2 linked regions of the Cricetulus griseus genome follow. The protein of the gene in region 1 binds, or shares a complex with, the protein of each later gene. Links are inferred from orthologs where the notes say so. Each region holds a gene or a part of one and is shown on either strand. Other genes may lie near its edges. The genes, in order: Csf1r and Csf1.

Region 1 (3,809 bases):
AGGTCAGTGGGCTTGGCTTCCCTCCCTAGGCTGAGCATCTGGGTGGGGCACCCGTGAGTGAGAGGGGCATGCTGATGTGGAAGGCCTCAATCAAAAATCTGTTCTTTCCAGGTGTGATGAGGCCCAGGCCTTGCAGGTTTGGAGAGATGCCCCTTTTGAAGTCCTGAGTCAGGAGCCCTTCCACAGAGTGACCATTCAGAGCCAGCTGCTCATTGGGACCTTGAAGCACAACATGACTTATGTTTGCAGGGCCCACAATAATGTGGGGAACAGCTCCCAGCCCTTCAGGGCCACCTCTGTAGGTAATCCATCCTTCTCAGACAGAATGGGCATCAGATATCTGGAGACTGTCCCTGAAATAGGAAAAATTAATAAAAGTCTAAAAACTTAGACTATAGAGCCCATACTAGAAAAAGTTTCTAAGCTCTTTTGAGCTCCCTAAGGCAGCACAAAAGATTAATGCTAAATAAAGGACTGAGGATGTGACCAGAGGCCTAAGACCAGATAACACACCACCAGCTGTGTCAACATTTCTTTGTCCTAAATAAAACCAGATTCGCAGTTGTAAAAATCCCTGGCCCAGGAGATAATTAACTCAATGCCCCTTACAATATCCTATTCAGTTGTATCCTGCTTAAACATACAGTTATTGTTTTATCCTATGTAACCACGGAAGCTTTCAGCCTTATGGTCTATCCCCTTAAACCCTCCCCCACCCCTTAGCTATAAGCCACATTCCACTTGCTCCTGAGTGAGTGGGATCCAGGCCATGGCTTGAATAAAGGAAACCTTTGCTTTTGCATTGGGTGAGTTGCCTCCATGGTAGTAGTCTTTTTGGGGTTCCATGAACTGGACATAACAGTCCCCTCACCTCCAACCCAGGAATTTCTACTTGGAGGATGTCTCAGTCATGCCGAGTGCCACTTCTGGGTCACCCTGGCTAGTCCTGAGCCACAGAACTCCAGGGATAGCTATATGGAGAGGTTCAGAGTCCCTCACTGGGGACTGAAGTGGAAAGGGCAAGATCAGGGAGTGGGAAAAAAGAATGAGACAGAGACACCCAGACAGAGACTGAGAGGACCAAGAGAGACTGAGTGATACAGAGAGAGAGACCAGTAAGGTAGTCCACTAGTCTTTGGCCCCTGCTTCTCTCTGCATTCAAACTTATATGAGGGAGAAAGGAGTTGAATGAAGAAATACAGCTTATCCCAAGTCCACAGCTAGAAGGGATGCTTCCTCTATCCCTCTCCAAATCCCCCTTGTTTCCTGCCCCTGCCTGATCCTGAGACACAGTCCTCAAGGGGTTTCCAAGTGCTGATATGGAGCCTGCATATGGGCCTAGTCTCATGCAAAAGCCCACAGTCTCCCCAGGCCATTAAACTGCTAGGATTTGGTACCTACTGTGTCAGGGTCTGGGTGAAGCTCTCAATTCAGACTGATCAGGGCAAGCTCTTGGCTTCTGCTTGGCTCAGGGATCATGTCACTTATGTCCTCCAGTCACTAACATGGAGCAGGTGTTGGCAGACCTGTTGCCCCTGTTGTCTGTGAATGCTGTGTCACTGATGGTGGTGGCAGTTTTAAGTAGTGAAGCCCCACTGTGATGAATGCTAGCATTGTACCAGGCATCGTCTCCATGACCCCTCACCCATTAGCAGTAAAATCCCTCCTTCATGGTTGTAAAAATCCCTGGCCCAGGTATGGAAGGATGACACACCTGAAATGTTTAGAGAAGGCCTACTTTGATATCACTCATCTACTAAGGGGCTCTTGGCTGAACATGGAAATGAACTGTGTCCTTCATACCACATTAACATAACTAGGATTAGAGGTCAGGAAGGGGAGACTAGCTAGTACTCAGACTCAGTAAGTTGCTGAGCTCCTAAGGCCACACAAGAAAGCTGCAGGAAAGCTGAGGAAGGTGTGGGTAAACCCTCCACCCCCCCGGGCCTCTCTGCCCACAGGTGCAAATGATAAAGCCCCACCACTGGGGTTTTGTACAAGCAGTGGCTGGGCACTGAGCCAATCTGCTAGAGAATTTTCATGCCCTGGCAGAGGGATGGGACTGAGTACACATCACCCCACCTGCTCATTCCTCTGTCTCCCTCTTCCAGGAAGAGTCGAGCAGCTCCCTGATGAGTCCCTGTTCACTCCAGTGGTGGTGGCCTGTATGTCTATCATGTTTCTACTGCTGTTACTGCTGCTGCTGCTCCTGTACAAGTACAAACAGGTGAGCTGGGCATTGGAGCTGGGTCAGGGACCCCCCCACACACAAGGGAGCCAGATGTTGGTGACTGCTGCTCATACTAGCTCATTCTGATAGACTGACTTGTAACTAGAGCTCTTCATTAGGTGTCTACTGTGTGTCAACATGGCCTAGCACCAAGGAGCTCCTGGTGCAGTAATTTTGGGCTTTACTGTTGGGGGCAGGAGAAGGTATACAAATAAGGATGTGCCTAAAAGGTACCTAGCTCTGCCTGGCTCTGCAGAAGAGACGGCAGGAAAGTGGGTATGTTGAAGCTCCTTTCTCTGTCTATAAATTGGGGTTCGTGATGCCACTTTCCTTTGCAGTTGAAGCTTGAGAGGGTTGGTGGGATGTCTGGCAACTCCCCAGGTGTCCCCCTTGTAGTACTTGGGGGTGGTAAAGGGATCTGCCAGTCTGGCATGGGGGGTAGTGGACCCAGGTGACAATGCCATTCACCTTTAGGGCAGTTGGTGTTGCCATCAGGCCTACATAAGGCCTTTCCCATCTCAGTTCCAGGGTCTGGTGGTGTTGGTTTCTACCTACAAGGACCCAGTTTCCTGGGTGGAACCTGTGGAGTTCAGGGGAAGCAGCAGCTTCATAGATAGCCCCAAGCTAGAGCCATACTTGTTTGTGAGTCAGCTGTAAGGTGTGGATAGACTGGAAGAAGTCTCGGCAGTCCAGTTCGGCCGAGAGTTCAGATTGGAGGTTGGAGATAATAGAAGGAGGTACCCCAAACATGATCTCAAAGGGAGTGAGGTCTATCTGGTAGGGAAAGTTCTGTACCCTATAGAGGGCAAAGGGAAGGAGAGCCACCCAGTCTGTGCCAGTCTCTAAGGTCAATTTAGTTAAGTTCTCTCTCTCTCTCTCTCTCTCTCTCTCTCTCTCTCTCTCTCTCTCTCTCTCTCTCTTTGGCTTTTCGAGACAGGGTTTCTCTGTGAAGCTTTGGAGCCTATTATCCTGGCACTCGCTCTGGAGACCAGGCTAGCCTCGAGCTCCTACACTTGCCTCTGCCTCCCGAGTGCTGGGATTAAATGCGTGTGCCACCAACGCCCGGCCAGTTAAGGTCTCTTTTAAAGTTCTGTTCATTCTTTCTACCTGTCCTGAACTCTGGGGTATATATGGGCAATATAATTTCCAATCTGACCCCAGTGCAGTGGCTATTCCCTGACTTACCTGAGAGGTGGAAGCTAGTTCATTGTCTGGCCCCAACAATGCAGGAAAACCATACCTGGATAGGATGTCATTAAGAAGCTTCTTTGTGAGCCACTTCATGCCTGACCAGAAAAGCTTCTCTACCCCTCCTGAGTGAAGATGCTGTCGTTGGTGAACCAAGTCTCTTTGGCACTGGGTAGAGGGGTGTCTCTTAGGTCCAGTTGGATGACCATGAGGCTGAAAGCCCGAGATTACACATTTCTGTGGTAAAGCAAATACCATATGTTTAAGTTAAGATACAAATGAGCAGCCGGGTGCTGGTGGCGCACGCCTTTAATCCCAGCACTTGGGAGGCAGAGGCAGGCAGATCTCTATGAGTTCTAGACTAGCCTGGTCTATAAGAGCTAGTTCCAGG
Region 2 (3,809 bases), on another chromosome or scaffold:
CTTTGGGATTGAACTGTCAACAGCAAGAATAGAAACATAAAGCAGAGGCAGCAGTAACTAGTCTCTGTGGGGGAGGGGTGCAGGAGCAAGGTGAGACCTGAGGCCTGGAAGGGAGGGGCCTAGCTAGACCTGTTGATGAATGAATGAAAATGGGAGTGGGATAGAAGAGAGGAAGTCAAATGTGTGGGTCTCCTGGGAGTTGGTGGCTTCTGCAACAGGGGAGGGTAACTGGAGATAGTTCTTTTTAAGGGCTAGAGAGATATCAAAGTCAGAGCCTTACCTTGGACTCCTTTCTATACTGGCAGTTCCACCTGTCTGTCCTCATCCTGGGTCAGGGGGCTGCAGGCAGAACACAGGGCTGACATAAGACTTTGGCAGGAGCATGGGACTGAGGATATCTTCTAGCTTATCCCAAACCCTACACATGGGTTCTATCTCTGATATATAGAAGTTCCAGAACTGGCCAAGTCTAGGAAGAAATCAGGGGAAAGCCCAGCTGTTGTGGAAAAAAGAGAGGCCTTTCTTTGTACCCACCCTGCTCTGCCGCTCTAGTTCCTTAGGGAAATGGAGAGAAACCCTCCTCCAATGTAGAGAGGAAACAGGCCCCAAAACAGACATCCAGTGCCTTCCACAGCCCACTGCAACTTCTCACCTGTCCTCTGGTCGCCCCACAAAAGAATCCAATGTCTGAGGTTCTCGATGAATCTGGAGACAAGAAAGAATTGTCTTAATGAGGTGTTGGCATGCCCCCAAGCATTGCTGAGAGTCACAAGAATTCCTCTAGCTACCCGAAAGCATGAACAGCTGAGGGAGACTCCTGGACCTCTTGAAGATAGGTGCTACTTCTCCTGTCCCCTTCCATGCAGAACACCACCCATGTTCCCTCAAGCTCCCAGAATAGCATTCCCCTCCTCTTCCTTCCCTTTACTAGCTGGTTGTTCAAGAATTCCCTTTTCTATAGCTTTTTGTTCTCATCCCTTCTAAATAATCTGCGGCTGGAGACCTCTTGTTATATTTATTTATTTATTTATTTATTTATTTATAAGACAGGATCTCTCTATGTAGCTCTGGCTGGACTAGAACTCACTATGTAGATCAGGATGGCCTTAAACTCACAGGGATGAGCCTGCCTCTGGATTTCTGGGTCAAAGGCACATGTCATCACCACTCCTGGTACCTTCTGATTCTTGAAGCAACACTCCATCACCACCTTCTACTCTCTGGGTTGTCATCCCTACCTCCCAGCAACTGTAGAGCCTATTGCAACCTAGTTGTCCTCCAACCTGCCCCATAGGATATCCACCTCTCCTGGGGGGTTTCCTTACCCTCCGCTTCCACCTGTAGAACAGGAGGCCCCCAACAGCCAGCAAGACCAGGATGATGCCCGGCACCAGCAGGTGAAAGACAAACTCAGAGATCTGGGGGTCATTGGGTCCCCCACGCTGCCCCTTCTTGCCTGTGTCAGTCAAAGGAATGGAGTTAAAATGGGCCACAGGCCTGGCTGCCCCCTCACTTGCTGGTCCTCCTTCCAGCTCTGCGGGGCTCCTTCGATCCCTGGTACTTCTCTTGCCCTCAAACTCCCCAAGGGGCAGCACAATGCCCCAAGAGTGGCTTCTCGGAAGCAGTGACTGAGCAAAAGGGGTGGCTGGGTTCCTGAGGCCTTGGGGACCCAGTGTCGAAATGTGGGGAGAGCCTGGCTCCTGGTGGTTTCCAGGCAGTGTAGATGAACCATCTGTCTTCTCAGGAGTGTGATTCTGTATCTGGCTAGTGGGTCTCATAGCGTTCACCTCTGGCAATGGAGTGCTTGTTTCTGCTGGCTGTTGGTCTTCTGTTGATTTATGGAGTGGAGAAGATGCTGAGAAGTTGCTGGAACTGTCAGTCTCTGCCTGGATGCTGTCCCCTACAGGCTTGGAGGAGGAAAGCTTTGCTTCCTGGGTCAAAAAACCCTCACTAGCCTCTCCAGAAGCTTCTTCTAGGACCCAGTTAGTGCCCAGTGAAGATTCAAGGATGTCTTCCACACCAGGGATAGGAGCCTCTGAAGATGGAGGAGACTCTGAACCCTCAGTGAGTCTGTCCTCATGGTTTGGGATCTCTGGTGACTCGAGGCTCTGGCAGGTGCTTCTCGGTGGTCGCTGCTTGGCACTGCCTGGGTCCTCTGTGCGAAGGGGCTGCTCACTGGGCAAGAGGGAGTTGCCCTCTGTCCTCTGAGAATCATCCCAAGCCAAGCCAGCCAGAGGGGCCATGGAGGGGGCAGGGGGCTTGTGAGGGGAGGTAGAGGCCAGGTCACTGCTAGGGGTGGCTTTAGGGTACAGGCAGTTGCAATCAGGCTTGGTCACCACATCTGAAAGAACCACAGAGAAGGGGAGAGAGAAAGATGGGGAGGAGATAGAGTCACCAGCCTCTAGCACAGCTCCCCCATAGGGATAAGAGGGGGTAAGGCCCTGGGGCCTGGGAAGGGGGACCCTCTTCTAACCCAGCCCTGGGGCTGGGGAGAAGGCAGGACAGCAATAAATGATCATGACACAGAACTCAGGCAGAAGGGGGTAATATGGACAAGGAGAGAGCAGGGTATCATGGACAAGGAACCAAAAGCAAGGTACAGACAAACAGAGGGGGGCTTGAGGAAGACCACAGGACAGTTTACTGGGGCTCTAGCTGACTGGATGTCAAACCAGGGGTAAGCAGCAGCTAGGCCAGGGAAATGAGCAATAGCTCCTGGAGTAACACAAGACATTTGGAAGCCCCCAAGACACTGGTTTCATGCACAGCCAGGAGCCAAACAACCACAGCCACAGCCACAGCCACAGCCACAGGATGGAGAAGGCTGAGGCTAGGAAGCAGCCACAGTTTGGGATTTTGGGATTGAAGCACTAAGGCTGGACTTGAGTATTGTCCCATTGTAGGAGCTCAGCCCCTGCTTTGGGGAGTGAGGCTGAATGCAGGATACATGTGGCACAGGACGCAGAGATGAGGACACGCAGAGTGCACAGGTAGAGAGAGTTTGAATGATGTTCAGACTTCAAATTCAGCCTTGTCCCTTGAGGAGACATCCAAGGCATCCGGGGGACTTCTGGAGCCAAGGTATCCTGGTGTTTTGCAGCAGGGCTCCTGGAGCAAGGACCCTGACTGCCAGATGGAGCACCTGCTTTTTCCACGGAATCCCCATTTATTCAGCCAGTCTGCAGAGCCAAGGTGGAGAAGCCACCATGCCTACATGGTTCTCTGAGAAAGTTCCCGTTCCCTCTCGCTACCATAACAGCCACCAGCATGAGCCTTCTTGATGCTGCCACATCAAGTAAGGCGGTGAGACAGTACATGCAGGCATAAGTCAGTGTACATGCACACACATGTCAGCAAAGACATGTGCCCAGGACCCTGAGGTACATGAAGCCACATGAGTACATAAAACACACAGAAACACACGTAGCAGCCAGGCTGCCTTTGGGATTTCCCTAGCCCTTTATCTCACTGTACATACACCCTCCCTGTAGCTTCTATGCTTACCTTGACTGGAGCACTTAGCAAAACTTTTGTTGCAGTTCTTGCTAAAAATATTCCAGTCCTTTTCAAGAAGATGTTTTGTTTCATTAAAGACATTCTTGATTCTCTCCAGCAGCTCGAGGGGAGTCTGATGGAAAGTTCGCACACAGGCCTGGAAGAAGAGCAGAGCCCTTTTTAGTAATCACGGACATGGGCCTTCTCTCACTATTGCTCTGCCCAATTCTCTTGTGCTTTCTCCCATGGGGTTTCTTTCCCCCTTTTGTTTTCCTCCCTCTCATCTCCTATGCTTTGCAGCAGTATCAGTCCTG

The links.
Region 2: the proteins of Csf1r (region 1) and Csf1 are in contact, whole or in part, in a crystal structure (PDB 3EJJ), measured with the Mus musculus proteins. The link is inferred for Cricetulus griseus from reciprocal best matches to the Homo sapiens genes CSF1R and CSF1. Residues at the interface, in NP_001032948.2 of Mus musculus: Arg142, Arg146, Leu149, Arg150, Lys151, Lys168, Val169, Leu170, Ser172, Asn173, Val231, Gly232, Phe233, Leu248, Ser250, Asp251, Phe252, Asp254, Asn255, Tyr257, Lys259; in NP_001107002.1 of Mus musculus: His38, His41, Met42, Gly44, Asn45, Gly46, His47, Phe87, Gln90, Asp91, Asp94, Arg98, Asp101, Glu110, Arg111, Gln113, Glu114, Leu115, Asn117.

What each region holds. Positions count from the first base shown.
Region 1 is NC_048595.1:177,982,411-177,986,219, reverse strand, and holds part of Csf1r (macrophage colony-stimulating factor 1 receptor), read left to right. Parts: coding exon 1-2; intron 3-111; coding exon 112-302; intron 303-2,111; coding exon 2,112-2,227; intron 2,228-3,809. UniProt on the Homo sapiens protein: Tyrosine-protein kinase that acts as a cell-surface receptor for CSF1 and IL34 and plays an essential role in the regulation of survival, proliferation and differentiation of hematopoietic precursor cells, especially mononuclear phagocytes, such as macrophages and monocytes.
Region 2 is NW_023276806.1:49,411,195-49,415,003, reverse strand, and holds part of Csf1 (macrophage colony-stimulating factor 1), read right to left. Parts: intron 3,653-3,809; coding exon 3,505-3,652; intron 2,342-3,504; coding exon 1,326-2,341; intron 706-1,325; coding exon 653-705; intron 340-652; coding exon 294-339; 3' UTR 281-293; intron 1-280. UniProt on the Homo sapiens protein: Cytokine that plays an essential role in the regulation of survival, proliferation and differentiation of hematopoietic precursor cells, especially mononuclear phagocytes, such as macrophages and monocytes.